4 linked regions of the Pelodiscus sinensis genome follow. The protein of the gene in region 3 interacts with the protein of the main gene of each other region in a pairwise test. Links are inferred from orthologs where the notes say so. Each region holds a gene or a part of one and is shown on either strand. Other genes may lie near its edges. The genes, in order: AIRIM, OLIG3, TLE5 and FRS3.

Region 1 (7,471 bases), on a different chromosome or scaffold from region 3:
TGAAGAAAATTGTTGATGCCCATGCCCTAACATAATTTGACTATAGTGTGGGTTCTGGGGTGGGGCTGAAGATAAGAGTTTTGGGGTGTAAAAGGGGGCTCTGGCTTGGGGGGGGTCAAGGCTGGAGCAGAAGGGGCTTACTTTGAGTGTCTCCCCATCAGTGGTGCTACAGGAGTTCTAAGGCAGGCTTCCTGCTGCTCCCAACACCAGACCATGCTGTATCCCAGCCAATGAGTGCGTAGCGAGTGCTCGGGGCTGGGGAAGTGCACAGAGCCCTCTCCCACTAGGAGCCGAGCCTATTACTGGCTGCTGCTGGTGCACAGAGCAGTTTGCGGTGCCAGGACAGGCAGATAGCTGCCTTCGAACCCTCACTGGTCACTCTGCAGGAATGAGACCCAGTGCCTGACACTCCATGACCCAATACTGGGGTGTGACCCGTAGTTTGAAAACCATGGATAAAGAGCATGTTATTGAAAGTATGAACCAATTACATAACTTAGAGACATTGTAATTTGAAATCTAATGAATACTTTTAACTCCTTTAAATTATTAGGTATTACACATGGCTGAGACCTGCAGTTATTCTTGTGGTTTTACAGTTACCTATTTTTTTTAAATGTTTGTCCCACACAAATGCACATACTTCCCAGATTCTGTAAGAAAGACTGACACAAAATGAGGACAAGGCGTAAAAATGAATATTAACACTCGGCCAGATTCATAGCTATTGTAAATCAGCAAAGCTCCAGCAGGACTCAAAGGTGCTACATGGATTGACACCAGCTGAGACTCTGGCCCACCACATAAAGATGAAGTAAACAAACTGAAAGACAGAGAATAATTTTCATGTGTTATTATTATGTGTGTTAGGATAATAGCTGCAGCATTTCCAGAAAGAAGCGTGACACTTATCCCTTTGACTTGACTTATCCGCTCTCCTTCAGATGTGAACTCTGCAAATAGGCCAGACAGAGACATTCCAGCTCTCCCAGCATATCTGTCTGGGCTTTCATGATGCTCACAACTTTAAAGGTCTTGACACAACAGCCTCTTACACTTTGCCTCCCAGTTCTTCCAGCAGGCTCTCAGCTGCACAGCGCTGTTTGTACTTCAGCTGCTCTTCCAGATCTGGGAAACTCCGCAGTGGTGTATGAGCAAATGTGACCTTTTGGCAGGCCTGCATCTGCTCAGCCAGATTGCTGAGGGAGCTCAGAAGAGGCTTGCAATCCGTCAGCGCCTGCTGCCAAACCTCTTGCTGCTGCTGTACGGTGTGGAAGCACTTCTGCAGGGACTGACGGAGGACCAGAACGGCTGGGCTCTCGGACATCCTCTTATAGGCAGACCCAGAGTATAGCCCAGGATAGGCACCGCCCAGACACCTGCAATAAGCACACACAGGTTGTGACGGCGCGTTGGGGGTCCCCCGTCTCCTGCACCCCGAAATGGCACAAACATACTGCACCAGCCGGTGAAATAGAGGAAGTTTATTGCCTCTTCAGGATACAGCACAGCACAGATGTAATCTGGTCCCAGAGCTGGGCTAGGATGCCTCAGGCCCCCTTGAGATGGGGGGAGACTGGGCCCCTAAACTCCAGCCCCTTTCCCTAGGCTGTCTCCTCCATGCTCCCAGACAGCCACCAACTCACTCTCCTCCAGCCCTGCTCCCCAGCCAGGGCAGCCTCCCCCTTCCTTTGTTCCTCTCCATGGGGGGTGTCTGGCCACTGGTTTGCATAGTGACTCATCCTGTTTCGCTGGGTCGTGTACCCATGGCAGCCAGTGGGGGTTACCCCAGAGCCAGCAGCATAGAAACCAGCCAGGTACCCCCACTACGTCACACAGGTATAGAGGTTCTCCTGCCCCTCTGTCCATGCTCACCCGCCTGCCCACCCACCAGCGCCACTGACTGAGAAGCGCAGGCCTCAGGGGACCAGGCAGCTCCTAGACGAGAGTTTGCTTTAGAAACAGGAAACTGGGGGGGGGGGGGGGGCTTCTATTTATGGGGTGGACACATTTGAGGGTAGAGCCCCGCCCGAGTGGGGGGGGGGTGTCTCTACATGGGAGCCAACGGGGGCGGGGAGCAGGGCCCCAGGGGGTCTCCATGTGGGGGGAGGAGCATGGCTGGGGGGGGGGAGCAGGGAATCTGCATGAGGGGACAAAGGGGGAGGGGGAGCAAGGCCCCGGGGGGAGGGGCGGAGGGTCTCCATGGGGGGAGCCGGGAGAGCGGCAACCTGACCCCAGGGCCCACCCTTACCTGAGCCCCGCAACCACAGCGACGTCCCTGCCCCCGGCGCCTGCTGGGAAGTGTAGTTCCGCCCTACGGGCCGGAAATGACGCAGCCAGTTGGCGAAGCGGAAGTCTCCCCGTCGGCTCCGCTGCTGGGAGAGGTAGGGCGCGTTCGCCCTCCCGCCTCCCGCGGGCGGCCGTTGCCTGTGCGCGTGCGCCGCGCGCGCCGCCCCGCGCGCCTGATTGGGCGGCCGGGTTTGAATGTAGCTGCGGCGGCTCGCGCGCGTTGGGAGCGAGTTGGTCAGTGGGGCTGCGGGGCGCCGTGGGGCGCGGCTGGGTGGGGGCGGGGCGAGGTGAGTCCCCCTCTGGTGTGGGGGGGGGATGGTGAGGTGAGGGGACCCCGATGGGGGGGTAATTCTGAGGAGGGGGGTCCCGCTCTGCGGTGAAGGAATCGCGGGGCGTCGGGGTCCACTTTGCGGGGGGGAGGGGCGAGACCGAGCTGCGTTGGGGAAGCACGCGCGGGAGGGGGGGGACACCTCCAGACCCCCCCCTTCTGTCACGTGTTCCTCCCTCCTCCCCAGCAATGGCCCTACCCCAGGGCTTCCCAGCCTGCCCGCCCCAGTTCAATCACCTCCCGGTGTCAGCGTCTGGGGGGGTCTCGCTCCCAGGCTGCAGCGCCCCAGAGCCCTGTGGCTCCTTCAACGGTTTTATTTGGGCGCCCGCTTCCTCGGGTGCGCGCAGGGGGAGCGTCCGTTTGGCAGGGGTACGTACCTGGGTGGGAACCAGCCATTCCCAGGGGCTGCTGGGACTCCGTCGGATCGTGTCCATTTTGCATCTGAAGGTCCCGCTCCATAGTTTCCCCCGAAGTCTGTTTTCGAAGGTTTTTTTTTTGGCCAGGCCGGCAACTTGCAAGTCTGTTACTGAGCAGGAGCCATCGCTGTAAGAAATTGGGGCAGGGCAAGGGGTTCCCAGCCGGCTTTGTCTACAAGACAGAGGTGATGCGGATTGGGGCCGGGCATGGCTGTTCCTGACGCATCCTCATTCCAGGACAAAAGCATTGTGGGTCTGTTTAACTTCTTCTGCCCAGAGGCTCCAACCGGGGTCGGGAAGGAATTTTCCTCCAGGGTAGATTGGCAGAGGCCCTGGAGGTTTTTCGCCTTCCTCTGTAGCATGGGGTACAGATCACAGCTGGAGGATTCTCTGCATCTTGGGGCCTTCAAGTATTTGAAGGCTTCAATATCTGAGATATAGGTGAGAGGATTATTCTAAGAGGGGTGGGTGAGATTCTGTGGCCTGCACTGTGCAGAGGGTCAGACTAGATGATCATAATGGTCCCTTCTGACCTTAAAGTCTATGAGCCCTATGTTGTTCAGACAAGCCCATGCCGAGCTTTCAGCCCCATGCCACCTCTGGTGGAGCTACTGCCTGGTATTGGGGAACCACTCATCTGTCTGGGGCACCAATGCGTCGCTCTACGTTGTAGCTTGCTGTTGGCCTAGGAGCCCTGATTTTTCAATGAGGATAGAGCAGCAGTAGCTCCCAAAAGACTAGAGTCCTCTTGTCTCTAACTGGCAAGTGTCTCCTCCTTGTATGAATGCAAATGGCTGTTTCCGTTCTGCTACACAGATCTATCTGACACCATGGCACCATCCAAGAAGAAAACAAACAATGGTACCAGCAAAAACAATGTGAAAAAGAAAAAGCTGGCTGCATTTTTAAAGGACTTTGACTGTGAAGGTAACCATTCCACTCATTCATAAAACTTGTTCTCTACAAAGACTTTAGGGCCCTGAGTTGTTTTCCAGGTTAATTTAATGCATGTGAAAGTTATTGTCTTGACAACCCTGGAGACTAACACCTCAGAAAACTGAAGTGTTGTACAGGCAGGACAGATACAGCAAAAAAGCCAGAGCTTTGATCCAGAAGGATGACTTTGAGGAGTTTAAGAATGGTTTAATTCTAGATGCTCATGCAAACCTTGCCCTTTCTTGAGCGTCTGTGGTCGGGGGAGACTTGTTGTAAAGAGTGTGCTGCATTGTTGCTGTAGGGCTATCAGGAATTAAACTAAAATAGGAACTACTTTTCAGAGGTCAGTGGCAGCTGACAAATATTAACCATTGGGTGGTTGTCAATAAGATGTATAGAGAGACAAGATACGTAAGATATCTCATATTGAGCCAATTCTTGTGGGTGAGAAACAAGTTTATGTAAAGTTGTTCTTCAAGTTAGGGGAAATGTACTCACAATGTCACAGCTAAATACTAGGTGAAACAAATTGTTTAGCATAAGTGATTAACACACATTTCAAGGGACCATTCAATGTGAAGTGGCCATTAATACCTCTCCAGTGAGTTATAGATTATTGTAATAAGCCGTAAATCCAATGTGTGTCTATTTAGTTCATGATTTTTAGTATCTAGCAAACTTATGAATTTAAGTTCCCAGGCTCTTCTTTTGTAGGTGTTGTACAGGTTACCTTTGAGGATGAGGTAAGAGAGGTCAGACATAGGCTGATTCCTCTGCGAAAAGTGTGTGCCCGGAGGGAAAACAGTATTTTTGACTCTTATTATGTTTTGGTGTGAGTTCATTTTAAGTACATAGTGTTTGTCTGGTTTCACTGTTTCAATGTTACTGTGACACATTTACTACCATTGGGCGAGATACATCACATAGGGTGTGTCTAGACTACATGCCTCCTTCGAGGGAGGCATGTAGATTAGCCAGATCGGAAGAGGGAAATGAAGCCGCGATTAAAATAATCGCGGCTTCATTTAAATTTAAATGGCTGCCCCGATCTGCCGATCAGCTGTTTGTCGGCAGATCGGGGCAGTCTGGACGCGATGCGCCGACAAAGAAGCCTTTCTTCATCGGCACAGGTAAGCCTCGGCTTACCTGTGCCGATGAAGAAAGGCTTCTTTGTCGGCGCATCGCGTCCAGACTGCCCCGATCTGCCGACAAACAGCTGATCGGCAGATCGGGGCAGCCATTTAAATTTAAATGAAGCCGCGATTATTTTAATTGCGGCTTCATTTCCCTCTTCCGATCTGGCTAATCTACATGCCTCCCTCGAAGGAGGCATGTAGTCTAGACACACCCATAATGTGATAGACATGCTTACAAGCCATGGATTTTGAGGGGTGTGTCATTGCAGCACTGGAAATATGCTTACAGGTTTTTCTTTGTTGTGGCCGTGTCTGGTGCTGCTTTGAGTTAATGTCTTGGTCTGTGGAGGCCTTATTTCTGATGATGGGATTGGGGGATTGTATAAAGGCCAGAAGAGGGTTCAGAAAAGAAATCTTTCAGGATATCCCCATCAAGTATGGGTTGTAATTGTTTAATGATATCCTTTATGGGTTGTAGTTAGGGATGTAAAATCCTGTTTAATTGGTTAATCAATTAAATGGGAGCCGGGGAGTGGGGGCTGAGCTGGAGTGGCTCTCTTCCTGCAGCGTGCCTGGGCCCGCTGTGGACAGTGACTGCTCCGGAGTGCCCGTGTCCGTGGCAGGCCCTTGCGGGGCTATAACAGCTCCCCTGTCCATGCTTGGTGGGTAACTGCTCTAGCCCTGCACCTGTTAACCAGAACTGGTAAGCAATATCTGTTAAAGGTGATGCTTACTGATTAACCTTTCACATTCCTAGTTGCAATACAGGTGGTAGGTAACAATCTGTTCTACCTTTATGGAATTTTTCCATCAACCTAGCTAGTGCCTCTCGAAGCGGATTGCCTTCATTGATGGGTAAGGTAAAACCCTACTATTCCCTACTATTGGTATTAGGACTGTCTGTGCAGAAGCACTGTAGACATACTTTTATGCATTTTAATTAACTCACTTGGGATGAATGAAATAGATTTGATCAGAAAAGCGTGTTCATAAGGGAATAGATTTTTGCTGATGTTCAGAGAAACATAAATTCAAGCCTTGATGTGTAAATCCTAAATAATATTTTTGTTCTATATATTTGTTAATCGTACCATTTTCTTTTTTTCGTTTAGTCCAAACTAGAATTGATCAGATACAAACAAATGGGCGAAGTCTTCTCAAGGAGTTGGATAATCTTTATAACATAGAAAACCTCAGACTTCCTCTAGCACTGAGAGAGATGAACTGGCTTGACTACTTTGGTATGGTCCATCCATTCCCATATGTGTTGACAACATAATTTTGAGCTGTAACTGAGTTATGAGTTAAATTTATTCAGTTAGTGGACTTTGTTTCCCTCCCTCCCGATTATTTGGGCCGAGAGAATTGCCAGCCTCCTGGGCAAGGTGGGAAGAGACTGCTTCCATGCTCCCAGAAGGGCAGAGCTGGGGCAGCCAGCCCTCAGAGTCACCTGGAGAGTGCTAGATGGTGCTCCAGCAGCGATTAAAAGGGCCCAGGACTCTGGCCACTGCTATGACAGCGGTGGCCTAGAGCCCCAGTCCCTTTTGAATTGCTGGCTCCCGGGGCAACTGCTCCCTTCTTCCCATCCCCACCCTGTAGCAGGCCTGCATACAATGAATACGTAAACATAATTACTATTGATATTGTCATTGTTATCTATAATTATGTTATTTCTTTTATAATACATTGCATTTAAAGTCAGTATATTAGATACATTTATTTGTATGAAAGTGCTAAATCAAAATAAGACTTCACAAGTTTTTCCTTTGTATATCTTAAAGTCACTGGTACATGAGCCAATGTAAAGTGTGACACTGGATTAACTAGGTGTACAATCATGTGCTTAAAAATCTTTGGAAATAAGAAGAGGCAAATTGAATACCCTGTCCATATGGATTCATAAACAACCACAGATTTGTGGTTTAAGATAACTCTTGCTTTCATACTAGTTTCTTTAGCTTAAGCTAGTCATTAACTGTCAAGAAATGCTCATTGTTTGGTTGTTTAATTCTATGCAAGTATAAATTTTTAATATTGCATAAATTACTCTGGTTATTCATTAATTTAAAAAATTCCGTCTCCAGCTAAAGGAGGAAGTAAAAAGGCCCTAGAAGAAGCAGCAACGGTAGGTAACGTATATCCAGTGTAGCAACTAAGCCAAATAATAGGAATTTCTTTTTTAGTGCTATTGTATAATGTATTTAGGAGCTAGGGATGTCAAGAAAGAGGTAATTTGACTACACAATTAGTCAAAAAGGGAAAGTTGTCTGTCCTGGCTCATGCTGATACAGGAGCTACCCCCATTGTGGCTTTGTGATCTAAAGACAGTAAGAGCTGGGCGTGCTCTTACTACATTTCAAATGCAG
Region 2 (6,999 bases), on a different chromosome or scaffold from region 3:
CACGTTGTTGTCTTTGAGGCCGTAACAAAATATTTCAAGCAAATGCCCAGGAAAACATAACAAAATCAAACATAAAACGACAGTAAAGTTCCAATGGAGTAACACAATGACCAATCTGGCCAGAGTCGACCCTGCATGCAGATCACTGAGCAAGGGGTATTGAGGGCAATGTGGAACCCAGCCAGCTGAACTACTACACTGCACTTAGAGCAGGAGATAAAAACCTGGCGAAACATTGTGCGTGTTTTGCGCTATTTCTCGTTTTATACAGCCACGGACGGGGTGAGGGTGTAGGGAGGAACCCAGGAAATGCTTTAGGGAATATCCTTGTTACAAGGAAAACTGCACCATTGCCAGAACAACATGTTTAAACGAGATTCAATTATAAGCAAGCATGCATTCTTTTGGGCTATATTGGGTAAAAAAAAGAATCATCATTCCTAGCTGTCATACCCTGGAGTGGAGCAGAGAAAATTCCCAGAAATGGCGGCGTTTGTCTTTAAAAACAAACAAATAACAAACAAACAACCCTCCCCCCCAATAACTCATCGTCTCTTTGCAGCTGCGAACAGTACAATGACCAGCATGTCTTTTTTTTGCATCCATTTAAAGGAATTATTTACATTTTTATTCGTTTTTTTACAACAGGGATTTTTGTTTTAGCATAAGAAGACAACATGGCCCGAGCATCCAACTAAAACGTTACCTTTGGAAGGTCCTTACTACACTAATCCCTTGTTACAACAAATGCAGTTTGGACAAGCTCGGATGTCAGTGAGGGAGAACACACCGGCCGGCGTCCATGGGAGGAAAAGAAGCATGCATGCGAACACTGGACTTCTTGGCTTGAGTCTTCCTGCGGCAGCACCTAGCAGAACTTGGGTGGAGGTGTGTCTCTGAGACAGCGAGCGAGGGGCGCTCAGCGTCACTTCAGCAAGTCCTTGGATTCTGCAGCGAGCCTGCTCATGTTGGCTGTGGTGAGGGCAGACAGGTGTGGCGGGGGTGGCATTTGACAGATCGTGCACGGGCAAGGCAAACCGGCCCAGTGCTGGAAGCCACTGCCAAGCTGGAGGGCCGGGGGGGTAGAGGGAGTCTTGAGTAAAGAGTGAGGGGGCCTGATGGTGCCAATCCCTGGTAGGGAGGCGGAGAGCGGGGAGGAGGTGTTGGCCGAAGACAAGGCACTGCCAAGGATGGGGTGAACCTGGTGGACCGTGCTAGCTGGGTGGGCCGGGTGCCCGCTTGCGTGTCCCACTGTGCCGCAGTGAAAAGCGGAGTGGTGCCCCCCATAGATTTCACCCACCAGCCTCTTCATCTCCTCCAGGGAGCTAGTGAGCATCAGGATGTAGTTTCTGGCCAGCAGGAGGGTGGCAATTTTGGAGAGTTTCCTCACCGAAGGTCCATGTGCGTAGGGCATCACCTCCCGCAGCCCATCCATGGCCAGGTTCAAATCGTGCATCCTTTTGCGCTCCCGCCCGTTGATCTTCAGCCTCAGCTGCTGCAGGTCCTGCTCCGAGAGCTGCTTTTTGATTTTGTACTTGCTGCCTTCCCCTCCGGCCTTGGAGCCGTTTCTGGACAGGCCTTCCCCGGACATCTTCTGCACCAGGTCGCCCTGCGTGGAGGAGACCGAATTGAGCCGGTTGTCCTGATGGTGGTGGTGGTGATGGTGGTGATGGTGGTCTCTCAGGTACATCTCATCCATGTCTGGCGAGGACGCTCTGCTGGAGACAGAGCTGGAGTCAGAATTCATTGTATTTGGACTTCCGAGCAAGAAATTTCTTCCCTGCTCTAAAGAGGGTGACGTTGGGTGATTGTTATTTTAAAAAAGCAAAACAAAACAAAATAAAACAAAACCCTGCAGGCTCTGTGAGGGGGGAGGGAGTTCAAACAGGAGGAAAATTCTTCTTTCTCCCTCTAATCTCTTCCGCTGGATACCCAGCCTGCATACGGGATAGCTGGTTGGTGTATGCTTGAACTAACCTCAGCCTGGAAAAGAGGGGCTTTTATAGCGCTGCAGCAGAGAAAAGAGACAAAAGGAGCCCTCCTATCTATAATGGTCTTGTTAGGATGACGTGCAATTATTCAGGGCGGTGCGCTTTGACTGTCCCATTTAGCAAGGACTCCCATTCATATTCATTGTGGTGCCACCCTGGGACACCTCAGCCATGGACCATCAGGAGTCAAGGAGACACAAAACCTCTCTGATTGACAACACGCACTCATCCCTGAATGTTCACGCCCTCTCCTCCCCCTGTTTCTAATTTCCAATATAAAACTGCCTCTAGTGTACAGTAAAGAGCAAAGGGGCTGATTTGGGTGTGTATTTTTGCTTGGGGTCATTTTTCAGTCTAGCATCTCAGTGTTAGTAACATCGTAGCAAATTCTATTTGTCTGAGGAAGCAGAGGAAGATTGGTTGCTTTGGGGTGTGTGCCTGTGTGTATGTATTTGGCTGGTTCCAATCCCGAAAGAAAATAATTGTCTCACTTTCTTAATCCTTTTCTATACATATTTTAGTTCCCCTTCGTTTTCATTTGCCACCGATCTTTATGGTTTTCTCGCTTATCATTTCTATTAAAATATTTGGAAATTCATCTCTCTGGCTGCAACCATTTGACTTTTTTTGCACTTTGAATGAATATAAACCATGAATCTGTGTTGACAGTTTTATTTTTAAAGATAATCCAAATTGTTTCAAAATTAGAAGAGAGACCACGATATATTTATTCCCTATAGATACACTGAATGGGAGGAGGTGGGGAAAGGAAGTCGTTTGTGAATTGGACTAAGAAGCTGCATAAAAGACTGGACACATGCAGGCAAAAGGAAACTAACATCAAGTCACAAGGGGGAGAGACTCTTGCAAGCAATAATATGTTACGCGATGAAGATTTGTTAGAGTAAGTAACTGGCTCCTTGAAGTAGTTTTATTTTGATATATACCTGGTAACAGACATAGGAGTCTGGTGTATGTGTGTGTGAGAGAGAGTGTGTGTGAGTGTGTGTGTGAGTATGAGTGTGTGTGTGTGTGTGTGTGTGTGTGTGTGTGTGAGAGAGAGAGAGAGAGAGAGAGAGAGAGAGAGACTGTGTGTTGGGATACTGAAGGATGACAGTTTGTGTGTCTATAGCTGGAAGTGTTTCCGTTATGTTGCCCTGAGTGTCTGTGTGTATTGTGGCGGAGCTTCTGCAAAGCGCCATGCAAGACTGTTCCAGATATGCGGCAGTCTGGGTACCGATGTGCAGGATTTGTTTGTGGGCATATGTGAGTGCTTTCTGTAGGATCCGGGCAGAGATACTGCGCATTGGGATGCGCCATTGCGGGACTGGGGAGAGAGGAGTTTGAGGGTGTGTGTGAGGGGGGCGGAGAAGCCTGCCAAAGCCAGGTGTGCTTATGAGGAAGAGTGTAATTTGGAGTAGTTTTGTAGAGATCCGGTGTACATAGAGACGGCTCAGCCCCTGGAATTGCCAGGGACTGATTGGTGTGTGCCCTGCACATGCTGAATGCATGAGTGTGTGAAAAGGACAAACATAGGGAGTGAATTGAGAAGAGTGACAGCGACGGTTTGTCTTGATTGCAGTGTTTGGTTAGCAAGTGTTAGCTGACACCTTCCAACAAACTTCTTCAAGCACTCTTGTGTAGACACGGCAGTGGAACCGTTAGCACGTGCAGACTGGCTTGGGTTGAAGCCTGACTCCCCCTTTAACAGCTTTCCTGATTGGAGAATGAAACCTTGACAGGAGTTTTCCGTCTGAGTATGGGTTTTAAAAGACCAACTGCACTGGACAGACTAAAAGCAACTGCTAGCAGGCAGGGTCCAAGTTATTGTTACTCCAAGGATATTTCAGACCCACAAGGAGAAGCGTCTGAAAGCGATAGATGTTTTCCTCCTATTGATTCTAACTGTACTTAATCTGCTGAGAAACACATTTAAGACGTTTGTCATTGCTGTCTGTAAATCCCGCCGTGGGAACTGGAGCAGATAGAGTGATAAAGAAAAGAAAAGAAAAGAAAAGAAAAGAAAAGAAAAGAAAAGAAAAGAAAAGAAAAGAAAAAGGCGCTTCTCTCACTGGGGGGAAAGTTGGACCAATAACTTGACTGAGAAATAAGGTGCATTAACCCCTTGTTCAGAAGCACGTAAGACAGAAAAATGATTGCATTCAGTTTCGGTTTGCCAAGCCTCCGCTGAGAGCATGGGAGACGCGGCTTTTCTCGTAGCTGAACCACTCCAGGTATAAGGAGAAAGAAAAACTGTTTGACTAACTTGTCCACATTTCCGTGTAATCTGGCGCCTATACAGAGATTCACTCCCATTTCACGACATCAGGAACCGCATAACTGATAGTCTGTAGGGGTTGCCGTGTTAGTCTGTATCTCTAAAAGCAGCCAGGAGTCCTGGGTCACCTTACAGACTAACACATTTAATAGGGCATCAGCTTTTTTTGGTCAAAATCCCTTCGTCAAATGCAGGAACATAAGTGAATAATGCACCTAGTGATCGCCATCCCTCTTCCCAGCCAAGAGCACAAATCTAAGCAGGACCAGGCAGGGTACACTTCTGGAGCTATCTTTACTCATGAAAAGACACCCAACGTGTCTCTTTCTGCCCCTTTCTACTTTTTATGTGCTTGGAAAAACTGCTGGCAGGACCTGCAAATTCCAGCCTTGCCCACTGATTCCCCCCTCCCCATTGTATCTATTTGAAACACTTTAGAAGTTTTAAAGGGGGGGCATTAATTGCTTAGCTATTCACATTAATAAGACAAAAGTGTAAGCACGGGAGAAAAGAATCAAGTAAAACCCGTCAAGCGATTCATAGTAATAAATGCGATAGCTGCAACCAAAGGGATTCTGTTCTGTCTCGGTTAAGAGTTCTTCGTCCTCAGAACCGCCCTTAAGACAACTTCCATCGGATCAGGGGCCGGCTGCATGGCACAGGCTTCTTCTTGGTCCCCAGGCTTTGGGGATCATGGAGATCCCTGTCCTCAGACTTACATTTTTTTTTCTCTTAGCAAGAGGGATTAGCGCCAGTTCCCGGCTTTCTACCAAAACATCTACTGCCCGGGAGAAGCGATCCCCGGGTGGCTGCCTTCTCTCTTCCGAGGGAAGAGTGTGGAGGGCGAGAGGGAGGCCTTGTCAGCCAGCTCCGGAGGAAGGGGGGTTATTAGAGAGAAGTGAACTCCCGGCTGCCTCGCCCCCACCCTGTCCTGCTCATTCCTTTGCGGTCCTGGTGTTCTGCTGCAAACCGCAGCGTCTCCCATTGCCAAGGGCAGGAGCGCTCCGCACGTGCTTTTTGGAGTTGGGGTTATATTCGAGCAGAGATGGGGGGAGGCGCAGAATGAATTGCAGGGGGAAACTGGCATGTGCGCTCTCTCTCTCTGTCTCTCTGTCTCTCTCTCTCTCTCTGTCCCTGCCAGACATAGAAACCAGAGGGGTGGGACAGCAGGATCTTCGCTGGGAATTGTTACAGCCGGGTGTAATGTGGGAACAGGCCATGGGGTGAGGAGCTGTGTTCCCGGGTGGGATGGGGGAATCCCAGCCACCATCAATGACTGGGTGTCAGTGGGGACAATCTTGCTGTCAGGACATTATACTGTGAGCCCGAACCTCCAGCGTTTACCCGGAAGATCCACAAACACACATGTACATGCTTCTTCTCTACAGCGGCCAAGGGAAGGTTTTGCCTGAGCTAGGCAAGTTGACTGGCAAAGACGAGAATTCGAGCCCCAGCGAGGGAAGGGGAAGGACCAGGCGTCACGGGCTAGAGATGAAGCGATCTGACTGCAGAAAGGGCCTTCGGACCGACTTTTCCAGCGCTACAGCCATCAGCCACCCTGTACCGTTCCATCGCCTTGGCAGGTTTTAGCCACCACGCCCGCCTGCGACAGAGTTTTGCCTTGCTGGCTGGAGAGCAAAGCGCCTCTGGTTGTTTTTGTTCAGTTAATTGGCAATCCAAGGTACACATGCACACACAAAGGCATAGTTTGCAAAAAAAAAAAAAAAAAAAAACCCGCAGAGAGATTTTCGGGGCATCCGAGCGCATTCTGTCGTCCCCTCTCCCTCCAATACAATGAAAATACTCCGCTTGAGGCGGGACAAGTGTTATTTTGCATTTGCTGCGACTTTGGCTGGGGCAAGGCTCTGCCCCCTTTCTCCTTGTTTAGCATTGCACATTTTTGGTAGGGCCGAAAGAACGCAAAATCTACTCCACATATTTCAGCAATATCAGACAAGCGATGTGTATCAGTAGTTGGTGTAGGATTTGATAGAAAATTTCACTGCCCTGGAATTCTTATACATAAACCCAACCCTACGCCAGAAAGGACCCTCCATTTGATCTAGTCCTTCCTCTGGGCCATGTGGGAATATAAATAAGCAAAAGGGGAGGGGGAAGGCTTTGAGAGAATAGCTTTGCACGACACTCTACAATTTAGAGAGATGGAGTATGTATTAATTATTATCAACATGGTTGTCACAGTCACCAGCAACTCTTGTTCGGCTTAGTAATGCAACAGGCTGTTCCCCCAAACTCCTTGTAGTTTAAAATGGGCCATAAGTGATTTATTACTATATTTACTGCAACAGAAATATCGCACAAACAAATACCTGGTTACCAGCTCTATTCCTTGTTAGAGCAGGAGTGTTCCTTACAATATGTACTTCTCTCTAGTCTGTGTTTCTCATGTGTGTGTGAATAATAAAGCAGTAGCTCATACTTCTTTGTACTATGATACTGATTACTCTCCATTATCTGCTACACTTGCTTTTTGTTTTGTTTACTTTAGAAAGTGAAGTAGGACCAAAAGCAAAATCAATTTTAGACAAGACTATTAAAGATTTTAAAAGTGTGCTCTTGCTCCCCTTTCAGTAAATAGCAAAACTCCCAGAATGCATCTACACAGAATCAAAAACTCAAAATAAGATATGCAATTTGTGCTATGCAAATTGCATATCTTATTTTGATTGAATTTTGAAATAGGCTATTTTGAAATTTGGCATGACTACA
Region 3 (7,998 bases):
TGGGACGCAAGGCACATGGGAAAGTCAGAGCAGAACAAGCGAGCAGCCACAAAGTCATATGCATAAGGACACAAAATGAAGAGATCTCAATGGTGTATTAGATAATTAAAGAGGATACCCTCAGGTTGATTTAAGCTCTGTTCCAATAAAAGCCAAATCTTAAGATCACTAGAAAGGTTTATTGGAAAACATGCACATTGAGATTTCAGCATTTCCCAGCAGTGTTTGCAATGGGTTCACGTGGGCAAGACAGAACACAGCACAGACTACAAACTCCCAGCCACAGTGCAATCGGCTAGTCCTCATTGTCCTAGCTGAGCAAAGGGTAAACCAGGAGTACTGCTGCTCAGGGGGGGAATTTAAAGCCTTCAGCTTTCATGATCGTCAGGGTTATAACACAGCAGGACTCATCCCCCACCCCTCCCCCCACAACTAGGTGCCATTTTAGCCAAGGCAATCATGCTCTCCATCGCATTTCAAATCTGGCTGCTGTGAAGGAATCTTCCTCCAAAGCACATTGCTCGGGTCTGTTTCCTTGGGGGATCAGCTGTGAGGGTCAGTTCGGTTTCCTACACGAGTCATCCTCTGACAACTGCAGCAGTACATAAGGCTGCAAGAAACTGCGCCGGTCCTCCTTCCTGTCTATCACCATGTCTCTATCTAGCAAGTCAACCTCTGAATATCCCGTCCCCTCCCCAGGAGCCCTTAACAAAAAAATCCTGAAAACTTCATGGCAGAAGCGAGCAAGTGACAGGCCCCTGGGACCCACCTGTGAAAGCATCGTTTACTGCCACCATCTCTGGCTAGCTACTGAGAGCATCGCAGTGACAGCACGCAGCCGATGAGAAGAGCATCCCTTACGGCAGGCTGGGAGGAGGGACGTCACCAAGACAACACTCACTTTGGCATGGGCCCTGAATAGCATCCCCGCCAGCTCCCCGTGGGCCGTAGACATGGAGAGCCGCAGGCTGCGGCTAGTTGCACCGCAGTGCACTAGGCTCACCTGTGGTACTGAGCTTGCAGGAGCTGGAATTCATCTTTAATCCGGTCACAGGAATCAGAGGTCGTGAACTTCAGCTGCTGCGGCAGATGAGACGAACCCTTTGGACACAGAAGAGAGCGCCGGGCAATATGGCAGGAGGGAAAGCGATGCCCAGACAAGCCTTCCCCCTCCAGCACAGCTGTCCCCACAGATGAGGGTCAGCACTGGGCAGCACCCCCAACCCCCAAGCAATGACTGCAGCATCAGCCTCCTTCCCTAGCACTCTTGCACCAAGGACCTGGAATTAAAGCCCCACCTCCAGGAGAACTATTTCTCCCCGCCTCCGCCCCCTCAGATGGGGAACACAGGCCCCAAAAGGGGCCCACGGTCATGCAGCCCTGCTGCTGCTCTGCTAGCTACGGCAATCAGGAAGGTGGAGAGGTCCCAGTTTCTAAAGGCCTCCTTTAATGCGTTTCGCCTCACAGCACCCCTGTGAGGGAGGGCAGGGCTATTACCTCAATTCTACAGACAGGAAACTGAGGCACGGACAGACTAAGCCACTGGCTCTAGGAATGGAATCCAGCAGTCGCCAGTCCCAGGCTGGCATCCCAACCAGTGAGCCAAGCTTTCACTCAGCTGATCTGAGCTCACAATGCCTCCTGCCTCCTTTAGCAACAGGAAGGACAGCACCTCTGCCACCAGGCAACACCCCAGAATTAGAGAGAGAGTTGATAGGGGCCAGGGGATATTTAAACCCACCCCAATCTGCCAGCCTAGGGTTTGTTTGTTTGTTTGTTTCAAGGCAATCCTCCTCCTCTACGGCTCTATCTAGACTCGGGTATTAAAAAGTGGAGGAACAATAAACATTTATTCTTTTCCCATCAGGATAATCAGGGGCTCAAAGCCCCGATGGCAGTAAGCTCGGGGGGGGGGGGGGGGGGGAGATAAATATTCCCATCAGTGCACCGACCCCTCACAGAAACTGGAAGAAGCAGAGCAGCCAGCTTCAAGAAAAGGAAAAGAGCTACTCAGGTAAAAGTGCCCTCACCCCTCCCCCGTCTCCTGCCCCCCACATACCACCCTCTCCCAGACAGCACCTGCACCCCGCCCCTCACCCTCATAAAACACCAACTTGGCCCCCCAGGGCCCAAAGCGGTTTCCACCCAGCACCCCCGTGTCCCTTCCAGCTCGCCCCAGACCCCACGCGAGGCAGAGACGCCCCTTGTGCATTGGCTGGCCCAGCTGCCAGGGTCTTCCCAGCACAAGAGCAGTGGCCGCTTCGCCCCGCTGCACTTCCTGGACCAAGGCGCCCCGAGCCACCCCCGCAGCGCCCCGCCGAGCCCGACACCTCCAGCCCAACCTTGAACTCCCCCCGCACCCCCCTTGCCTCGGGCCCGCCCACGCATCCCCTTACCCGCAGGAGCCCCCGGCGCTTGCCCCAGAGCGCGCTGAGCAGCCCCCACCTGTGCGCCGACCCCCCCGTGGGGTGCAGAGCCCCCCCGCTCCGTGCTTCCCCCACGCACTAAGCGCCCCCCCCCCACGCGCACCCCCCACGCGCGCCCCGGTGCAGCCCCCGGGCCGGGCCCGCGGCTCACCGAGTGCCGGCTTTGCGGAAACATCATGTCAGGCTCGGGCTGCTCCGGCTGCTGCCTGGGCCGGGCCCCGCTGCTCCGCCTTTGTCCCTGCGCAGCGCCCGAGCCTAGGCCGCGTCCCCGCGCCGGGCTGCGGCTCCGCTCGGCTCCGGCCGCCTCGCCTTTTGTCTAATGGCGGCTGCGGCTCCGTCCTGCGGCTGATCAGCACCACCTGCTGCTGCGGCTGCGGCTGCCCCGCGCGCCCCGCTCCGCCCCGCAGCAGCCCGGCCGTGCGCCCCGCTCCGCTCCGCTCCGCTCTGCAGCAGCCCCGCTCCGCGCCGCTCCCCCGGAGCCGGCTCTGCAGCAAAGCCGAGCTGCGCTCCCCCGCCTGGCTGCAGCTCCCCCCAGCGCCCGCCCCCTTGCAGCTCCCCTCTCCGGCAGGGACCTTAGCGCCTCTCCCGGGCCAGGGAACGCCTCCCCTCCCCAGGCGGGTGCAGCTAGCAACACCCTCCCTCCAGCGCATTCCCTCCCTGGACGTGCTTCCTGCTACTCCCGCTCCGGCTGAACAGCTAACGCGTCACCCGGGCCTCCCCCTTCCAAAGATGCTGCAGCGGCCCTGGCTTGAAAGGGTTTCCATTCTGTGCTATTTGGGTCAATGGCGCCCCCCCCGCCCCCCGCCCAGTACAAAAACTGCTCCAGCCCCTCTGTGGGCAGGACTCAGTCCCAGAAAGGCTGCAGGGATCCTCTTCATAGGGGTCTAGGCACAGTAGGGTTTGTGTGTCTAGGCCCAAGTTCCCTATGAGCTAAGGCTTGTGCAGCCACACAGTTGAGACTCCAATGCCACCCCACTGGTTGGCAGAGCACCCACAGAGAGTTTTTTTTCTCCTGGCAGTGCACTTTCACACATGACTCAGTGTACATAAAAAATTTATTCTGCATCTGGATTGAAAAGATTAGAGGGAACACTGCTCTAAGCCGGTGGCTCTCAACCTTCGCACGCTACGCTGCCCCGTTCGTCAGATGCATAAATCAGCCTGAATTTTTCAGACGTGGAACTTCCAGTGGGCTGTAATAGTAGCCGCTGGAGTGAGTGGCTACTACACCTGCCAGGTGAAGGGGATATAACATGAATCATGCATCTGACAAAGTGGGGGTCCAGCCCATGAAAGCTTATGACCAGGGCTCGACCAATCGCCATATCTACTTGCCTGTGGCGAGTAGATTTCAGCCAGTTGCCCCGTTCACCGGTGCTGTGTGCATGCACAGTGCTGGTCTGGCGCATGCGCGGTGTGGGGCTGGCGAGTAGATCTTGCCGCGGTTTGTCGAGCCCTGCTTATAACCAAATAAGTCTGTTAGTCTTTAAGGTGCCACAGGACTCCACCTTGTTTTTGCTGAAACAGACTGACACAGCTACCCCTCTGAAACATGGCTACTCATTTCAGGACTCTGATTTCTCTCATGTCCCCCTCCCCCAAGTTTCGCCTAATTTAAAAACGACTTGCTTACAAAATCAGACATTAAAATATTTAAAAAGCGTCACAGCCACACTATTACTGAAAAATTGCTGACTTCCTCCTTTTTACCATATAAAATAAATCAACTGGCATATAAATATTGTACTTATATTTCAGTGTATGTAGTACATGGAGCAGAATAAATAAGTAATTGTATGATATTTTTATTTTATATTGACTTCACTAGTGCTTTTATGTAGCCTGTAAGCAAATATCTGGATGAATTGATGTACCCCCCAGATGATCTCTGTGTACCCGCACAGGTACATATACCCCTGGCTAAAAACCACTGCTGTAGGCCCTACAAACATAATCATTCTACCATTACTCTCTGTTTTCTTCTCACACAGGATCCCTCCTCCTGTGTTGTGCTGAATGCATCTCCCCTTTAAAATGTCCTTTCCTGCAGTGCAATTTGGGAGCTGGAAAAGTTAGGCCAGAGCCCCAAAAACCCTAATGGTTTCCTTGTAGCCTTCAGACTGAACATAGTCACTTAACCCCCAGCTATGCAGTGAGCAAGCCTTGGACATTACTCTGATTCTCTTGGCTATTCCAATCTCTTATGGAGTGATAAAGGAAGTCTATTTTCCACCTATATGCAAACAGCAGGGGCCATGGTTTAACATCGTGCCCATGACCAGATGCCTGCCCCCTCTAGCAGTGTGGTACTCCCTAAATTGGTGTTAGCATGAGGTATGCACCCACTGATAGAGATGAAAGAGCTGTATCAGCTGAACTATTGTAACATGTTGTGTTCAGGGGCCTTGCTTTATGTCTTGGCTGTGAGTAACTCCAGAGCTGAAACCCAACATGGCTAGGAATTTTCAGACCTGGAATCCCAATGGGCTGTAACAGTAGTCACTGGAGTCACTGCAGTCAGGTGAAGGGTATATACCCTTTTGCAACCCTGCCCCATAACTCCCGCCTGTCACGTCTTTATTGCATGGTCTCTGCAGCACTTCCAAATTCTCCTGAAAGCAAGTGACATGGCAGAGAAATCTGTGAGGGTGAAGTTCCCTTCACTTTTACCTGGGAGGGACAAGCCTAAAATATTGGTGAGCTATGGTAGGGAGCATGAAGAGGGCTGCAAATTGCAACATGCAGCATAAGAACACAAGAACGGCCAGACTGGGTCAGACCAAGGATCCATCTAGCCCAAGGTCCTGTCTTCCAACAGTGCCAGTTGCCCCAAAGGGAATGAACAGGGAATCATCAAGTGAGCCCCCCCCCCCCCCCCCCAATGTCACCCATTCCCAGCTTCTGACAAACAGAGGCTAGGGACACCATTCCTGCCCGTCCTGGCTAATAAGCATTTATGGACCTATACTCCATGAATTTATCTTGTTCTTTTTTGAAACCATTTAACATTTCATTCAAAAATTCTTGGAGCACAGTGATCCATGCAAGAAAGTCAGTTGGGAAAAGCATATTTTTCTCTAGTGCCAGATGAGACCGTTGATCCTTATGTTACAAACCTGTGTATTAAAGCTAGGCCATGCAAATTTGAACAGTTAATAGCTATATACTAATTAGAGACAGAATTACTTGTGGCATAACTGATAAATAGGTCAAAGCAAGGTGTTTATGAGAAATGGATTTGACTTTGCAAAGGACTGGATATTTTCAAGGCTGGTGAAAACTGCTTCTCAAAGTGTTAAAAAGCAGTGAAAGAACTGAAGTGCAACTAATTAAAAATGCATAAAGACAGAACACAAAGGCAAGTAAACAGCAGATGCAGTGAATGCGGAAGCAATCACGAGATGACAGAAAGGTGTGCAGCCCAAGGGATGCGGTGTCATACACACAATAAAGGCAACCATTTTGCACAGGGCATTGCTTTCAGCACAATCTGAAACGCTGTATAAAAGCAAAATACATTCATGGACGGACAGCTCTCACGATGATCTTTGATAGATCCCTTACAGAGCAAGTTGATATAATAGTTTGGTTTATGATGCTGGAAATAAATGAACAAAAAGTGAATTCCAGCACAGAGAGGGAAATTGAGTGCCACATAATCACAGTAGGCAAATACAAAAATACTAGTGACGACCCAGTGTTAAATATCTAAGCTTGCTTCATATAGTAAACACATAATGAGCCCACCTATCTACGGTATCCCAGTGTCTCAGCATAAGGACAGATTTCACTCCATAGAGTTTGAAACACTGGAACAAGAAGGACCCAATGGGTTTGCACTGAAGAGCAGTTTGCAAATGCATATCTATTTAAATAGGTGCAAAACCTGATCAAAATGCAGGAAATGGTCTGGGAGTGTCTCGAAAGGTATTTGAGAGGCTTAGAAGCGAAGAGCCCTGCAAATCTGCAGATATCCACTTTATATCCATAGGTATCCGCATCTGTAGATGTGGATGCAGATATCTGTGGCTCATTTTTGCAGATACAAATTTTGTAGCTGCGTAGGGCTCTATTGATGCATCATACAGCAAAATACATGTTCGAGGTAATACAGTGGCAATACGGTGGAAGGGGGGAGGGCACCCCTTTTCAAACACAGGGATGGGAGTCCCTTCATGGCATATCAAATGGTCTTGGGATTGAAACAGGAATTGATGAGATTAGGGCTGCCAGCCCATGAATTTGGTTCCCAGTCATCTCACAATAGGGGTGCTATGGCAGCAGCGCAAATAGGCATGGAAGTGGAGGCAATCAGGCAATCTCTCCCTACCATCAATCTGTAATTGTGAATGCCCTTGATATATTGGACCATCTTCTGTAGGTGAGAGAGACCTGCTTCTGAGCTCCCATAGAGCTCTTTTTTGGGTCATGTTCTCTGTAAAGTGCAGCTAGCATTGAGCAATAAAGTAAGAGCTGAACTTGGCCAGGCAGTAAAATTCGATGCGACTGAGTGAACACACATTCCAACTGCTTAGGGTACTCGCATGGTCACCACAGTCAAACCAAGCAAGTTAAGGATTGCATAGATTTGAATAAGGACATCAAACTTGAGAGCTACCCCACGAGAACAGCTGCAGAAGCCCTGTGTCACCACTCCGTTATTTTTTTTTAACTGAGCTGTTGCACATCGCATCATAAGAATGGCCATACGGGGACAGACCAAAGGTCCGTCTAGCCCAGTATCCTGTCTTCCATCAGACAACAATAAGCCTAGCTCTTATATAGCACTTTACACAAGTAGCTCGCAAAGTGCTTGACAAGAGAAATGTCTATCACTAACCCTTTTTTTACAGATGGGAAACTGAGGCATAGCACGTTACACTGACTTGCCCAGGATCACCCAGCATCAGAACCAGAAATAGAGGTCCAGTCTGCTGAGTTTCAGGCTGTGTTCTGGGCCCCAAGACACACTGTTCACACACCGTGGAATTCCAGATACACAGATACCAAACTGACTTACAGTTCACTAGTGGCTCATTTTGGCAATTTTCTTTGCTGCATCAGTTTAAGGATCACAGGTCAAACCATCATCATGTAGAGACCAATGGGTCAGCAGGAAAATCAATGCAATCAGCAAATAACATAATTTTAAGAAGTCCTTGCAATTTCAAATAATCCATACGTCCTTCACTGCTAGAATAACACGATGCACCACACAATGCTTTGGGTCATACAAAGCTGGAGGTCTCCTAAAAGGAACACTCTAGTTCAACCACAAGTGACTGGGCTAGATGCAGGAATTGCTGCGTGAGGCTTATGTGATTTTCATTTACATTAATGCCCCTTGACATGTAAAGTGAGTGAAAATGTAATTGTCTGCTCTAGTAATGTAAGGAGGGACCTTAGTATAAATGAGAAGCAGGCCCTATGAATCTAAAATCATGAATAGAAATGGCCGAGTTTCACACAGCTCTAGTGGTACCAACTTGGAATATATTTGTGTGTGCATGTGTGAGTGTAAAATACTGCCCTCTGTGACAGAAAGTTAAAACTAGCCTTCTCTGTGGCACTG
Region 4 (7,854 bases), on a different chromosome or scaffold from region 3:
ATGCTCCTCCACTGAACCCCCCCCAAAACTTGAATTAATCAGTATTTTACAATTTTTTTCCACTCCCTGAATATTTCACATTTCTGTCCAACATTCCCTGTCTCTCCAGAGCCAGCAACAGATGTTTCTGTTTCCCTATGCCCATCTCCTAAGACTCATGTCCTCCATCTAATACTCTGTTTAATGCACTATTCTGCACATACCTCCTCGCATATTCCCGTGTTCTGCTCAAATTTCATGTGCAAAGCATCAAGGCAAACACTGTTCATTACATGATTCAGAAAGCGAGAGATTTGAGCAATGAAGAGAGAACAGCACACACCTCAGGATGACAATTTGATGCAAAAAGCGCCATTTGGCACAAGACGCCACCAAGTGCCACACGGCATAACCCAGGACAAACCTGTGTCACTCAGCACAGGGCAGTCAGCGACCCCCTCAAATTCATGCTGGATCACATAAGCAACTAGACAAAAAATTTAGAAGCTTAGTGTGGTGAAAAGGTAGGGAAAAGGCAAGGTTTATCCTATGCCAGTGCTCTGAACCTGGCTCAGGAAGCAGGATATGGATGCCCTAAGGCCCTGGTGTCTGGCCAACTGAGTGGAAATAAACAGGAAAAGAGGTGGCAGAAGGCATGAAAAGGGGGTACCATTACATGAGCGACAACACAAACTGCAGTGATTGGCATATGGGCGAGAAGGGAATCGTTAATGAGGGAATGTCAGGTCTCTTGGTGTGGTAGGGTAGGAATGGAAGGAATAATACACAATAGAAGATGAAAAATGGACAGTAAATCCACTGGGGGATCAGTGCAGGAGGCACAGGGAAGGTCAGAGGGAGGAGATAACGGAGGTCAGCGTAGGAGGTGCAGGGGGGCAAGGGAAAGCAGGGGTCAGTGCTGGAGTTACCGGGTAGGGATGTAAAATCCCATTTAATTAGTTAGCCAGTTAAATGTTAAGTTTAACCAGTTAACTAATTACACAGTGGGCAGGAGGCGGCTCCAGTCCCCACTGGTTAACCATTAACATTCCTAGTGGGGGGGTATCCGGGCATGAGATGTGGAGGAATCGAGAAGATAATGGGGTGGAGTGAGTGCAGGAGGGGGTCAGGCAGAGGATGGGAAGGGGGGGGGGGTCAGTGCAGGAGGTGCAGAGGGTTGTGGGGGGGGGATAGCAGGAGGGGGTCAGTGGGAGAGGAGAGGAGAGGAGGGGGTCAGCGCAGGAGGTGCATGGGAGAGAGGAGCAGGGGGTTGGTGCAAGAGATCCAGGGGACGGGAGGTGAGCAGGGGGTTGGTGCAAAAAGCACAGGGGGAGCAGGAGGTCAGTGCTGGGGGCAGAGGGCAGTGCAGGGGGAACAGGGAGTCAGGCAGAGACATAGGAGAGGGGTTAGCGTGAGGGAGTTAGTGCAGGGAGTCTGGGGGAGCAGAGGGTCAGTGCAGAAAGCGTGGGAGGAGGCGGGGAGAGGGCAGTAGGGGGGTTGGTGCAGGAGGGAGGAAGCGGGGGTCGGTACAGGGGGGAAGCGGAGGGAAAGCGGGGGGGCCGGCGGAGGAGGGAAGCGAGGGTCAGTGCAGGAGACGCAGGAGGAGAGCGGGGGGGGGGTCGGTGCAGGAGGAGAGCGGGGGGGGGAGTCGGTGCAGGAGGAGAGCGGGGAGGGTGGGTGCAGGAGGAGAGCGGGGAGGGTGGGTGCAGGAGGAGAGCGGGGGGGGGAACAGGGGGGGCCGGCGGAGGAGGGAAGCGGGGGTCAGTGCAGGAGACGCAGGAGGAGAGCGGGGGGGGGGCGGTGCAGGAGAGCGGGGGGGCGGTGCGGGGGGAGTCGGTACAGGAGGCGCGGGGGGGTTCGGTGCGGGGGGTCGGTGCAGGAGGCGCGGGGGGGGGTCGGTGCGGGGAGGGGGTCGGTGCAGAAGGCGCGGGGGGGGGTCGGTGCAGGAGGCGCGGGGGGGGTCGGTGCAGGAGGCGCGGGGGGGGTCGGTGCGGGGGGTCGGTGCAGGAAGCGCGGGGGGGGTCGGTGCAGGAGGCGCGGGGGGGGGGTCGGTGCGGGGGGTCGGTGCAGGAGGCGCGGGGGGGGGTCGGTGCGGGGGGGGGTCGGTGCAGGAGGTGCGGGGGGGGGTCGGTGCAGGAGGTGCGGGGGGGGGTCGGTGCGGGGGGGCGGGGCAGGAGGCGCGGGGGGTCGGTGCAGGGGGGCGGTGCAGGATGCGCGGGGGGGGTCGGTGCGGGGGGGGGGTCGGTGCAGGAGGCGCGGGGGGGGTCGGTGCGGGGGGTCGGTGCAGGAAGCGCGGGGGGGGTCGGTGCGGGGGGTCGGTGCAGGAAGCGCGGGGGGGGGTCGGTGCAGGAGGCGCGGGGGGGGTCGGTGCGGGGGGGCGGTGCAGGAGGCGCGGGGGGGTCGGTGCGGGGGGGGTCGGTGCAGGAGGCGCGGGGGGGTCGGTGCGGGGGGGGTCGGTGCAGGAGGCGCGGGGGGGTCGGTGCGGGGGGTCGGTGCAGGAGGCGCGGGGGGGGGTCGGTGCAGGAGGCGCGGGGGGGGGTCGGTGCGGGGGGGGGCGGTGCAGGAGGCGCGGGGGGGGTCGGTGCGGGGGGGGTCGGTGCGGGGGGGCGGTGCAGGAGGCGCGGGGGGGGCGGTGCAGGAGGCGCGGGGGGGGCGGCGGACGCAGCCCGGGGGGGTGAGTGCCGGGGAGCAGCAGGCGGGAGGGGACACCTGTGAGGGGTGCCGGGGGCGGGGCGGGGGGAGTGAGGGGGGGCCCGAGGGGGCGGGGCCGTGGGGGGAGGGGGAGGGGGCCGGGGTCTCTGTACCTGCGGCGCTGCCCGGCCTCTGCCGCGCGGGCGCTGAGGGCCGGGCCCCCCCGCCGGCCGGCGCCGTGGGGCCCCCGCTCGGGCTCCGGGACCCGCCAGCGCCGCCTCCCTCCCCCCACCCCAGGTCGGGCCGGGGCCGGGCCCGCAGCCGCCGGCAGCGGGAGCAGCGAGTCCGGCAGCCGCAGGCTAGAGCGTCGTTCGCTGGGAGGACCCGGGCGGGCGCTAGGGGGCGCTGGGGCCGCGCTGCTCGGGGCCTGCGGCGGGGGGCGGGACCTTGGAGTGAGCGGGGGAGGCGCTTAGCCGCGGGGCGGGGACATCGGGCTGTGAGGGGGGAGGAGCTTTGGGACTGGGGGGCGGGGCCGCTGGCTGAGGGGGCGGAGGGAGGGGAAGCTGGTAGTGGGGGAGGGGGGATCTGGCAGGGAGGGGCTGGGGCAGCTGGCTCTGGGGGTAGGGAGGGAGAGGAGGGGGCTCTGGGGGAGGGGGAGCAGGCACAGGAGGGGGGGGGAATGAGGAGATGGGGCATTTGGGGGGATGCTGGGGGAGCTGACCCTGAGCTAAACATTTTTGCACGTGAAGAGAGACAGAAACTAGGGGAAAGTGCAGAGCAGTGTACACACTCCACCCTCCGCACACAGCCCACCTCCCTCTACCCAGCTCCTGCCACAACACTGTGCATATGGTCACACACAGGCTCCCCCAACAGACAAAACCCCATGGGTGCTCCCACGCCACATACACAAAACAACCAGTAGTCCCCACACCACCTATGCCCTCTCAGACAGACCATCCCTTTTCTCTAGTACAATATTGCTATTGCCAGTCAAAAATCTCCCTTGGTCCCCAAGGAGAGAGATGCAGTTAAAAGGTGTGTCCCTGTTTTTCCTCTCCATACATCCTGTGGATACTTTCAAATACATGCACACTCCAGTGGCTGCTAGTAATGTGATATTACCATAAAATAAATCCATACTAATCATCGCTTATCCCCAACATACCATGGGCAATGCTTAAACTAATTAGATAGTATTCATTGTGTTTTACAATATTTTTCACTCCCTGTACTAAACTGCTGGGTCTGTTATTAAACAGCTGTCAGAAGTGGCTATCTATCCATGGGTGTAGAGTGATCCCTGAATTCTGTGATTTGTAAAGTACTTGGTGCTTCTGTGTAATGAAAGATGCTGTAGAAATGTAAGGTGAGATCATATATTAAATCCTAATTCAGTAGGAGGGCTCCCTTTAGCAACAAAGTGCTCACTCCTAGTCTGTTACCCAGGCATCTTCCACCACACTCTTCAGAGACTATGAGACAGGGACACCCACCTCGGGGCACTGTGTCTTCTGCCCAGCCTTGTATCTGCCAACTGCAGCATTCTCTGATTCAACTACAGTAGTACCTGCTCACAATATCCGCATAACTGCCCTGAATAGAATTAGCATTATATATAGTCTGAATGCATGGGATATAAATAACTTTCATAATTAATATTGCTAGTGACAACTATTTAAAGATGGGTTTAACATGAGTTCCCTGATTTATGAACAGGAATAGGTTATGGTTGTTCTAGCCAACCTATAACATCAGTGTTAAATTCTCTTCTGAAGTCCACAGGTGTGATAGGGAAGAATTTAACTCTGACCTCTGAGGGCACATCTACACAGCAGGGCTAAAGTCAAATTAAGCTATTCAACGTCAGCTACATCAATTGCACAGCCGAAGTCGAAATAGCTTAACTCAGTTTTTGACGCTGTCTGCACAGCAGGAAGTCAAAGGAAGAACACTCTTCCTTCCATTTCCCTTACTCCTCGTGAAATGAGGGTTACCGGAGTAAGAAGTCCTCCAGCTCAACATTATTTTGGAAAAAAAAGACTTGAAGTGTAGACGTGTACTATATTATTTCAGAATAATGTCAGTTATTCCAAACTAATGGTGCAGCCTAGACATACCCAGAGAGATTGTTTCAAATGGGTTTTGAACATGACTCCGAGAAAATATCCTTGTCCATACCCGTGAGAGGAATTAATCTGAGACTTCTGCTGGCAACAACAGTGATGGAAATTGCCTGTAGCTGGAATACTTCTGATCCCCCTGTGAAATTCTCCCCGGCCGATGGAGTTGTCTGGAGGCATATGCACTATATGAATAGGGCATAATAAATGTGCAACCCAGCTAAATATGGCTCAGGACATACTACAAGAATGGTAGAGGGCTCCCTTGTGAGAGGGAAAGTAGGAAGGCATTACTTCAGTGGTGGGCAACCTGTAGCCCACAGGGCACACGTGACCCATCCAGATTCCATATGTGGCCGGCAAGACATTTTCCTGGCCCTTCCCTGGGCTGAGGGGTGGAGCATGTGTCTGGGGGGCCTGCCAAGAAGTGGGAGCTAAGGGGGTAACTGCCCTGGGACCTGGTGATCTTAAAGGATCTGGGGCTCCTAACCACCTTTACTACACTTTACATTGCTCCTGGTTCTGGCCAATAGGAGCTGAGATATTTTGCTGAGAGGCAGGGGCAGCATGTGAAACCTCCCCCTCCCCTTTCCCCCCAGCACTCAGAACAGAGAGCCACAGAGAGCAGCCAGCCATTTTGAGCAGCCTGAGACTGTGACAGGCAGGAGCAAGGGTGGGAAGGGGGCTGAGCAGGGGTGGGAAGAGGCAGGTCCTGGGGTGGAGGGGGGTTTTCCCGGGCTGGCAGTGCACTGATTCCTGCAGGGCTGCTGACTGGGCGCCACCTAGGTAAGCACTTCCAGGCCAGAGCCTGTCTCTGGCACCCCAGCCTCTCTCTCCCCTAAACTCCCTGCCTCACACTACCACCCCTCCTGCCCCAGGTCATCACCCTCCCAGACCCTGAACCCCCACTTATACACCTCCCCAAAGCCAGAATCCTCTCCTGCACCTATACTCCATCCCTGACCCTGACCCCCAATCACCTGCCCCAGGTTACCATCCAAACCCTCTGCACTCATCCTCCCTCAGACCACAACTCCCTCCCAGACCCTGCACGCTCTCCTACATCCCTTCTGGACTCTGCACCCCAAGCTCCTGCCCCAGATCACAACCCCTCCTTCACCCAAATGCCCTCTCAGACCCCACACTCTCTCCTCCACCCCAGGCTCCCTTCTGCACCCAACCTCCATCCCAGACTGTGCACCCCCTCCATGACGAAGTGTGGCCCTTGAACACTTACAAAAAGAGTCCCCACCCACATCAAAAATTCTTGCCCACCCCTGAGCAAGGCAGCACCTTCTGAGTTACCATTGTGTTATAATGTCTGGTCTTGTAGATGGGAGCTTAAGTGTGATTGAAATGTTTCCCTTTCTGTGTAAATAGACACAAATGGCAGCGAGTGAATGGACAAGGACACAGAGGAGGCAGGGATATTACAAACGGTGCACACAGAGAAAGAACTCAAGCAGCGCAATGGGACAAAGTCCACAACAGCAAGCAGGCAAGATAACACTGACCCCAAACCCAAACACAGTCGATTAACTTTCACTGGGTACAAGGTGGTAGAACAGTTTCCTTAGAGCTTCCCTTTAGCACAGGTTGAGCTGCATGTGCCTGGACTGGAACTCCTGTTAGAAAGCCAGGCTGGGTGAACTGAGCGGGGTAGTAGTATTTGAAGGGCAGAGCTCCCTGGTTGTTGTGTTTGACAGGTGGCCAGTGAAATGCTATTGAACAGGGGTGGTGATACATAGAGGGCATGCTGGAGGGTGGAGCATCCTCCCACCTCTGCTACTGACTGGCTGTGTGACCCTGGGCAAGTCACTTCACAGTCCTCAGCATTTCACTTATTTGTGTTGCCATAGTTCATCGAGGCCCCAGCCGTTTGGCTAGATGCTGTACAAACCAATAACACAAGCTATGCTGCCAAGAGCTTACATTGTAAGCATAAGCCGAGACAAGAGGTGACACAGCAAACAGAGGGGAACCCGAGGTATCAGTCAGACAATTATAATGAATGTCATTAATAGCAGTCAGAGCTCTCCAGCTGCCTAACCATTATTTTAGGCATCATGGCTGAAGTGAGTTTTAAGGAAGGAGTCGCTTCCCTGTGCCTCAGTTTCCCCATCTCTTAAAGGGGGATAATTATCTTTACCTTCTTTCCTGAAGCCTCAAAAGAATGTGTGAGCTGTGTAGCATAATAATCATCACCGAGGGTAACAGCAACAAACCAGTGAAGCAGAGGGAATGAGACAACAGATGGGAGGGAGGTAGAGAGGTAGCGAGCAGCAAAACATCGCCCAGTTCTTTCCCCTGCAGGGTTAACAACAGCCTCCTTTCGCCTGATTTCCCTCCCTGCCTGCTGCCATTGGCTGCCTCTGTAGGTTTAAGCTAAAAAGCCCTGTAATTAGGATCCCATCTGACACAGATCCAGTTTCCTGGGCAGGCAGATTTTTAAAAAGAAGAAAAAAAATCTCCCTGGTTTAGCCTGGATGTTTTCCTTTCGCTTTGCTGCAAAACTTTCCACGGCTCAGCCACTCTCCTGCCTGAGGCCCTTGGAAGCAGGTGGAGACCAGGGTGACCAGCCAGCCCAATATTATGGGGCTATCCCAATATTAGGGGCTTTGTCTTCTACAAGCAACTGTACTCCCCCCACCCCCCTTCCGCCCTTGGTTAAAAATTGTGTCCTGATTTTTCACACTTGCTATCTGGTCACCCTAGCTGGGGTGCAGCCGGAAAGGGGCAGGAAGAAATACGAACCTCGCGACGTGTGGGCGAAGCCGATCTGTGCTGTGGCGCGGGAAGGAGGGGGCCTCGGAAAGAAGGTAGGTGATTGATTGTGTTGCTGCGGGGCCCAGCAGAGCCACGCTGTGGGGGGTGGCGCGCTGTTATCGTGGGGGTGCTGAGAGCCACTGAACCAAACTGGAAACCCTGCATGGCATGGAAAGTCTGAGAGTTCTACTGCTGCACCCTGCTCTGGGGGCTGCAGGAATAGCAGAGGGCAAGGAACAGGAGGGGCTGTCAGTGGAGGCTGTCTTTACCCTCCCTGCCTGGGCCAGGTGGAGGCACTGGCAGAGGGGAGAGAAAGAGAATCAGGGAGGGGGGTTCCCCCTGTGAAAACAGCACT

Evidence for each region.
Region 1: the proteins of TLE5 (region 3) and AIRIM interact in binary tests that used the Homo sapiens proteins (3 or more experiments, as listed by UniProt). The two-hybrid records come from large-scale screens. The link is inferred for Pelodiscus sinensis from reciprocal best matches to the Homo sapiens genes TLE5 and AIRIM.
Region 2: the proteins of TLE5 (region 3) and OLIG3 interact in binary tests that used the Homo sapiens proteins (3 or more experiments, as listed by UniProt). The two-hybrid records come from large-scale screens. The link is inferred for Pelodiscus sinensis from reciprocal best matches to the Homo sapiens genes TLE5 and OLIG3.
Region 4: the proteins of TLE5 (region 3) and FRS3 interact in binary tests that used the Homo sapiens proteins (3 or more experiments, as listed by UniProt). The two-hybrid records come from large-scale screens. The link is inferred for Pelodiscus sinensis from reciprocal best matches to the Homo sapiens genes TLE5 and FRS3.

What each region holds. Positions count from the first base shown.
Region 1 is NC_134735.1:10,126,075-10,133,545, forward strand, and holds the start of AIRIM (AFG2-interacting ribosome maturation factor), read right to left. Parts: upstream 3,017-7,471; 5' UTR 2,995-3,016; intron 2,987-2,994; exon of another isoform or gene 2,859-2,986; intron 2,577-2,858; exon of another isoform or gene 2,553-2,576; intron 2,524-2,552; exon of another isoform or gene 2,482-2,523; intron 2,385-2,481; exon of another isoform or gene 2,252-2,384; intron 1,380-2,251; 5' UTR 1,328-1,379; coding exon 1,056-1,327; intron 1-1,055. Other genes in the region: CDCA8 (borealin), read left to right, coding at 3,864-3,960, 6,218-6,346, 7,190-7,230. UniProt on the Homo sapiens protein: Part of the 55LCC heterohexameric ATPase complex which is chromatin-associated and promotes replisome proteostasis to maintain replication fork progression and genome stability.
Region 2 is NC_134713.1:98,096,111-98,103,109, forward strand, and holds the start of OLIG3 (oligodendrocyte transcription factor 3), read right to left. Parts: upstream 3,007-6,999; 5' UTR 1,748-3,006; coding exon 926-1,747; 3' UTR 1-925. UniProt on the Homo sapiens protein: May determine the distinct specification program of class A neurons in the dorsal part of the spinal cord and suppress specification of class B neurons.
Region 3 is NC_134729.1:15,388,290-15,396,287, reverse strand, and holds the start of TLE5 (TLE family member 5), read right to left. Parts: upstream 3,015-7,998; 5' UTR 2,605-3,014; coding exon 2,578-2,604; intron 1,102-2,577; coding exon 1,004-1,101; intron 1-1,003. UniProt on the Homo sapiens protein: Transcriptional corepressor. Acts as a dominant repressor towards other family members. Inhibits NF-kappa-B-regulated gene expression. May be required for the initiation and maintenance of the differentiated state.
Region 4 is NC_134737.1:9,657,813-9,665,666, reverse strand, and holds the start of FRS3 (fibroblast growth factor receptor substrate 3), read right to left. Parts: upstream 3,006-7,854; 5' UTR 2,784-3,005; intron 1,038-2,783; exon of another isoform or gene 323-1,037; intron 1-322. UniProt on the Homo sapiens protein: Adapter protein that links FGF and NGF receptors to downstream signaling pathways. Involved in the activation of MAP kinases. Down-regulates ERK2 signaling by interfering with the phosphorylation and nuclear translocation of ERK2.